2 linked regions of the Drosophila melanogaster genome follow. The protein of the gene in region 1 interacts with the protein of each later gene in a pairwise test. Each region holds a gene or a part of one and is shown in the gene's direction. Other genes may lie near its edges.

Evidence for each region.
Region 2: the proteins of brk (region 1) and hale interact in a two-hybrid assay, tested with the Drosophila melanogaster proteins (2 studies listed by BioGRID).

What each region holds. Positions count from the first base shown.
Region 1 is NC_004354.4:7,306,164-7,310,084, forward strand, and holds the start of brk (brinker), read left to right. Parts: upstream 1-1,775; 5' UTR 1,776-2,309; coding exon 2,310-3,921.
Region 2 is NT_037436.4:19,983,776-19,987,696, reverse strand, and holds hale (hale-bopp), read left to right. Parts: upstream 1-1,828; 5' UTR 1,829-1,921; coding exon 1,922-2,142; intron 2,143-2,201; coding exon 2,202-3,201; 3' UTR 3,202-3,271; downstream 3,272-3,921. Other genes in the region: schuy (schumacher-levy), read right to left, coding at 1-914, 978-1,533; CG17732 (uncharacterized protein), read right to left, coding at 3,506-3,921.

The sequences.
Region 1 (3,921 bases):
AATAGCGAAAGAGAGCGAGGTGTCTGCGGCAGTGTGTGTGTGTGTTTCATTCATGAATCCAGATTTTGCCGAGGCAGGAGAACAGAAGAAGCAGAGTAAGCTGGTAACGAAGCAGAGGCAGCATTTCGGTTTGTCATTTGCAACAAGTGCGGAGAGGTTCTCTTGTACACATATTGTTGCTGCACTTATTGCATGCCCTTTTAGTTCTTTTTCGTTGCATTGTTTTATTTTTTCAATTTTTCTAAGCTTAGACAGAACGGCGGCAACGTCGACAGAAATAAGCTAAAGCTATATGGTATATATGCACCCACGGCCATAACAACGAGTAAAAAAAAAACCAAGATAGTTGGAAACCTCTGTGTTCGTCTGGCTCTATGTGTGTGTAAAAATATAAAAAATGCAGCAATGCATTCAACAGTTGATTCAAGAGAGAGCAAAAGGAAGAGAGAGAGCGGGCGGTTTGGTTGGCGAGAGAGCGGCGCTCAACAAGTTCGTTCGACGATCTGTTGCGCGGTTTCTACGGATGTGTGTGTGTATGCTGACGGGGGACGTGGGCACAGGGGTGTGGGTCAAAAGGGGTGGGGGGCTCTGGCCGATGTGGAAGGGGTATGGGGGAGGGCGGCGTGTGGAGTGGCAGTGCCAGAATGTCTGGCAGCCACGACTCTGGCGCACACACGCACACCATTCAAAGGTGCCTTTTGCACACGTGTGTGTGCGTGTGTGTATCTGTATGAGCAACTGGCAGAGCCAGCGAATTTGTAGCGCAGCCAGAAACAACAACACAACGCAACACGGCAACAGCAACCGCAGCCGCTAACAAACTGTGCTGCGACACAGTGGCACAAAAAGCTGCCAGCAAAGGGTTAAGTGTGGGCCTACTAATACATGTAAAAAACTAATTTTTGTAAACAGAATTTAAAAATGGTTTCCAAGTAGTGCGAACATTTGTCGACTTTGGGTTTATGTTTAAAACAATAATCTGTTGTTGGCAGATAGCTAACAATGTTTTAGAGATAGAAGAATTTGAAACGCGTTTCACTTATTGACTCGATGGCCTATAAATTGATAAAGGGTTTTTTAATTATTAAAGAAGAAGAAAATGTGTTATATTATCTCGCTGTTAAAAATGTTATCTTTTGATTTGTTCTATTCCATGTTTTTAGGTATCATATAATATTTTTTTTATTTTTTATATAAAAAAAAGCCATACGAATTGGTCCCACTGTGCGGTTCGCGGTGTTTGTCAGTTAGTCAGTCAGTCGGGTGACTGTGGCAATCGAAAAGAGTGGACAAAGACTGTGGCGCACAGGGACGGGGGAATGGGTTGCTCCGTCCCATGTTGTCCATTCGGTCCCACCGTGCACACAACTCAGCACAGCACGGCACAGCAGCAACAAAAGCGCCGCAAAAGGGAACTGGTATTATGGCATCCCGCTCGCACTTGCACTCCAAGCACGCACACATGCAAGCGCAGACACCTCGCGACACGATTGTCGTCAGTTTGTCTGCAATGCTCAGCTTCAGCGCCATGCGCTCTCTCTCTGTTGCTCGCTCTCTAGCTCCCCCTCTCACTCTCTCTCCCACTGCTGCACGCACACGAACACCCACACGAACAGCAGCAACAACAACAGCAGCGCACAGCAGACAGGCAGGCACTTTACGCCTGTGTGCGTGAGCATTTCAGAGTGAACCGCAGTCGACGGCGGCGCCGGCAGCGACGCCGGCCGAGGCGAGGCAGTCTAGAACGTATCTTCGAACTAGAACGCCGAGGGCAGAACAATTGTGTTTTGGATTCCTTGCCGTGCGGATCGCAAACGCGAGTTATGAGAAGAGCGTAGTAAAACGTACGAGAAGTAGCTAACAAGAAAAGGAAAAGAGCAGAAGAAGCAACAGCACGCAGACATATATTTTTTTTAACTGTGTTTTATTTATCCGATCTATACCAATCGAAATATACACAACTATATAGATTTGAAACGGATTTTGAAAAGTGCTTTCAAATAAACTCCAAAAAGTATCAGAGCGAGTGTGTGCCAGTGTGTGTATGTGAGACGCGTCGCAGTCGACGTCGCTGCTTTGGGGACAGAGCTGCCAGATCGCGAGTTATGAAAGCGCAAGCGTCGCACGCAAGTAGCAACAACAGCTACAACAAAAGCACCTAAAACTTACTACCTACTACTACTGCAAAACACACTTGTTTGACTATTATTTCGCTACATTAAAATCAACAAAAATACACACAAAACTGACCAGAATCTTGGGAAAATAAAAACAATCTTTAAAGAACGCCACGAAAATAAACCATAATCATGGATAGCAGCAGCGAACAGTTGAACGGATCGGGAGCTTTGAATTTCAAGCGGCCCAAGGATTCTTCGGAGAATGCCACAAACAGCCACACAAATAATGGCAATTCTTCGGGCAGCCCCAAAATGGGAAGTCGTCGGATTTTCACGCCCCACTTTAAGCTGCAAGTCCTCGAATCATACAGGAATGATAATGATTGCAAGGGCAATCAACGGGCCACGGCCAGGAAATACAACATTCACCGCCGGCAAATCCAAAAATGGTTGCAATGCGAGTCAAATTTGCGATCATCGGTGGCCAACAATCAGCAACAGCAGCAGCAGCAGCAACAGCAACAGCAGCAACAACAGCAGCAGCAGCAACTACTCCCACAGCAATCGGTATCGCCGACACCGGCGGTCAAGGTGTTCCATCAGCTGAGCCATCCGCTGGTGCACCAGTTGCATCACCATCACGCCGCCGCGGTGGGTCATCATCATCATCATGCCGCCCACCATCATGCCGCCCATCATCATCACGCTGCAGCAGCAGCGGCGGCAGCAGCAGCGGCAGCAGCAGCAGCAGCAGCCCACCATCATGCCGCCCACCATTTGCTGGCAGCCAATGGCATGGTTCCACACCCCCTGGCCGCCCATCCCCACTTGCATGTCCCGGTGGCAATGCATCCTCAAATGCAGCATCAGAAGGAGCAACAGCAGCAGCAGCAGCAGTTGCAGCAGGAGCAGCAGCAACAGGATCAGCAGCAGTCACAGCAGGAGACACCTGCAACCATTGCTACCAATGGCAGCAATCAGGGATCCTCGAATGTCCTTTCGGCGGCCAAAATAGCCGCTGTTGTTGCCGCCGCCATGGCCACCAGCAATGGCAATCCCACACCGACAGCAACAATCCCCGCCAGCAGCAGCAGCAGCAGCAACACATTGCCGAGCAGCAATAACAGTAGTTGCCACAACAGCAGCAGCAGCAGCAATAGCTGCAACAGCAACCAAGTGCCAATACAAGTGCCAATCCTGAGCGGATCCCCTGGGTCCACATCGTCAGCCAGTCACATTCCACATGTGCCCTTTGCCTACCATCACAATCTGCATGGCTATTTGGAGAATCGACTGGAGGCGGTTGCCACACCAGCCCCCATGGACCTCTCTCTCGGATCCTCTGCCCGCCGTCAAATGCAGTTGCACGAAAAGGATCCATCTGGTGTGGATCTCACTTTCCGCAAACGTAAGGTCATCACTAGTCCGATGCAGCCGGATAAGATTAGTAAGCTGGAGGAGGTGATCAAGAAGGAGCCCGAAACGGAAACGGAGAACGAGGATGTGGAGGTGGACGTGGAGACGGAGCAGCCGGAGGAGCACAAGCTGCCCTCTAAACAGGTCAAGCTATTTAAGCCCTATTTGCTGGACGATGATGAGGAGCAGGATCATCATCATCATCACCATCACCATCGGCAGGAGGATTTGGATGAGGGAGCTGCCGAGGAGGAGCAGGACGACGAGGAAGAGTCCCGCTATGCCGACGATGATGAGGTGGACTCCAAGGAGGCGGCCGACAAGAAACAGCGTCGCCTCAAGAAAAAGCCATCGGCAATCAACGAACAAAGGGAACCCATCATCT
Region 2 (3,921 bases), on another chromosome or scaffold:
ACCATCCTGATTGTGGGATCTTTCGCTGGACTTTAGTGACTTTTCCTTGGATGGGTAGAAGCTGCTGCGTCGCTGGCTTGGTTTCAAGGGGCAGCAGACACTTTGGGCTTGTTGCTGCTGCTGCTGTGATTGGAACACCTGTTGGTTGTTGAAGGGTCCCAGGCAGTGGCAACAAGGATGGGGGTGCGTCCTGCACTGGGAACACTGGTTGCACAAGGATTGGCACGAGCAACAGGGATAAAATCCTCCAGAAATCGGAATATTCGGCTGCTGCTGCAGCGCACAAGTGGAGGTTCCGAGAACTGGGTGCATCATGTGCTGGCTGATCTGACCACCTAATCCCATAGAAGGATGTGATTCCATGCTCGACAAAGGACAGCAGGATGTACCACCGTTGTAGCAGCCGTTTGCAAAACTCTCCGGCTTCAACATGCAGCAGTTGCTTCCGTTGGCTGGACATTGATACTGATTGCCCATCTGCATTGGGCAGACTTGACTCGTCCTCGACGGACAGCAATTGCTGCACGTGCAGCAGGAGCAGCTGGACATGCTGCTCGGCGTGGCGCACAGGAACTGCTGGCCAGGATACATGACAGGACAACCCGATGTTGCCGTCCCCGGCTGATTCATGTGCATAAAACTGATGGTCACATATGGCGAGTTGTTGGTCGGTTGAACTCGCACGTTCGGGTGTTGCTGCAGCGTCAAATGCTGCTGCATATGTTGCTGCTGCTGCTGCAGCACATTCTGCTGCATGTTCTGATGTTGCAGCAAGGACATTTGCTGTTGATGCTGCTCATTCAGCGACGGTTGTCGCTGTTGTTGCTGTTGCTCCCGATTTAATTTTAAAAGTTTTTGTCGGACCTGGGCTGCAGTTTGAAGGGATAACTTCCGAGCGGCTTGTACAGTGTTACCTGGGGAATAAAGAGGGAGGAAGGAACATAAATATAGAAGCAATCTAAAATGAATAATATAACCTTTCTGGTTGCTATTGCTGGTGGTTGGATACTGCGGAAAGGCTTTGTCCGTCTGGGATCCTGCATTAGAAATGGCGTAGGAACGCGAGGTCTGCTGCGTCTGACACTTGCCGGTTTGGTCTTCCTTCGACTGTTCTATGTCCTGTTGAATCCGATTCCTAGCCAAAGCATCCTCGAGAACCACGAACGAAGGTCTATTCGCCAGATCCTTGTTGCAGATCTTAACGAAAGGCGGCAAAGTTTCGGTTTTCTTGATCTCCTCTATGGACTTGTCATTCTTGCTCTTCTCCAGCTTTTCAGTTGAGTCATCATCGATGTCATTTGAATTCCCTTTGAGCACAGCTATGCACTCTTTCTTGGTTTCCTTAGTGCCATTCGTCAGTGGGGAGTTACTACTGTCTGCTCCGCTTTGGGGATTCTTGCATTCCTGATTAAGTGAGCTAATTTCGATGAGACCATCAGTGCCCACGGTAATCATGAAACAGCATTTGGCCACCGTTTCGTCATTTGATTTGGCCAATTGCCCTGATGATTCATTCTCGCCTGGGGCCTCCATTTTCCTGAATTTTGATGTGTTTTCCGGGTGTTGTGAGTTGATGTTTCCTAACGCATATCAAAAAGTATATCAGGCGACAAATGTACTGTCAACTTTGAAATGCTCATCGAAACTGGATTTCCCTTACTGTGTAAGTAGTGACCAAAACGTTCTTGGTGTTTAAGATTTTAGAACCATATTAATATTAATAAGATAAAATTATTTAAAAACTTGAAACAGTATTTATTTCTTAAAATAATTCAAATTATATACTAGAGAAGCAAGTCTGGTATCAATCAGTATGTCTCAGCTTTATGATGTCAAACATTTCTACACCTTTTGTGCTTTAACATGTACACAAAATTGTCATATCCGTGAGTTGGCCTCTCCGGGTGGTGAAGAGTTGAAGATGTTCTGCACGGAGAGCTGTGAGCACGGATGCAATGCAACCTCGTCGGGCAAGCTGATCGCCAATGGAAACGGTGGCGGCCTGCAGTCGCAGGGAAATTCACAGCATCAGTTCACCATGTCCTACGCTCCACTGTCGACCAACGATGTGCCCTCCAAGTCCGAGGTGGAACCACCGCGACTGGGCATGTGCCTGGTCACCGAGTGTCCAGAGGGTCTGAGGTAATTTATACATGAATTTCCATGAAAAGTGATTCGATTTCTACTCCCTTCCTCTCCAGCATTGACTGCAATGTGCCACTGCCGAATTCTTTCAATTTGGATGAATACAAAAATCACATGATCTGCTCGAGCTGTACCCAGTTCAATGGTGGCTTGGACAGATTTGGCCAGCCAGGTACAGCCGGTCCAAGTGCCAGTCCTAGTGCCAATCCATATCCAACTCCGATGCCCAATCCCATCCAGGCCTCTCCTTGCAGCTTTCATGGCCAGTGTTGTTCAGCCGGTGGACCATGCGCTGGATATGATTCGCAGCCAAATCCATCAAGATGCTATCGACAGGAATCATCGTTGGCTCAAGGAGCCCCAGCGATGCCGCAGATCTTTTGCCTGGCACCACCCAGTTCCCATGGTGGCTTAAATCAGCCCGTTTACTTGTGCAGCCTGATTCCAGTTCCGCCATCGTGGAACCTGGTGCCGCTGGCCCAACCGCAGCACTTGACGCATCAGCAGCTGCTGACGAATCCCGCACAGGACTCGCAGCTGCCGTTGCAGCAATTGGTGCAGTACGACCTGTCCTTCAATCGCCTGCTGGCCGAATTGCGCAAGGAACGGGAGAGGTCCTGTTGTGACCTGCAGATCCCCCAGCCTCTGGCTTTCCAGCTGTATGCGCCCACGGTTAGGTTTCTAGATCAGCCAGATTCCAGTTCGGCGAAGAGAGAGCCTCATTGCCCGCCGGCAGCTCCTTGTGCTCCTCCAGCTGCACCACCACAACCACCATCCTCGTCATCATCCCCAACAGCCACATCTGCCTCCGCCGCCGGGCTGCCAAGAGCTCGTTCGGCCAGCCCGAAGCGCAGTCGTTCGTGTCTCCGGAACAAGGATCTCTGGGACAGTGGCGGATCCGTACCAGGTCCATCCCCCTGCTCCTCGCCCACCCAACATGCGACCGGAAATGTGTGCATGAAGTGCGGAAACTGCTGGCATTGTCCGCGCTGCAACTGCTCCAACTGCTTCTGGCATCCCGGCTTGGTGCGAGCTCCTCCAAGAGATGGTCGCTAGGGAAGGGGACTAAGAGCCACTCCTACACTGTAAAAGAAGAAAGTGTAATAAAATTCCAAGACTTTTAAGCAAGCAGCTTGCCACTATTTCTTAATTGAATTCAATAATAAGAATATTTATTCTTGCAATATGAAGAGAGAGTCACTTTTAAGGTTTTTTTTTCGTTTATTAGTTTGTAATATTTAAACCCTATTTATAAATATTTTATGATACATAAAAAATGAATTCTTTCACAATTTCTACAGCAGCTAGGACTTATATCACAAGTAATGTTCGTTAAACAATGAACTGTAATTAAAAGTAATTATCGATCAGCCTGCATGTTCATAAAGCTAGCCACGTAGTTGGACATGACCGAGTTTATTCCGAAATGGTCGTTTCTGGGCTCAAGGGGTTGGGATTGCAAATTCCGGTGGCCGGGCAAGATCAGCGAAGCTGGCGGCAAGGGAGTTCTTATTTGGCAAGGATACGGATCCGTTCCCAGCTCAGAAATCCTTGTGCGACAACGCCTCACTTTCCGGGCAGAGGGACTAACTTGGGTGCAGGTCCTGCTGCTGGATTGGCAATACGGAGGTGGCGGAAGGAGAAATCTTTGCTGCAGCTCAACTGCCGTGGTATGCGACTCGGGTGCTTGGTAGTTCTGCTGCTCATGGTAGGCTTGGATGCGTTGTTGATACGCCACTGATTCCTGGTAGGCAGTTGAGTATATGTAGGATGGAT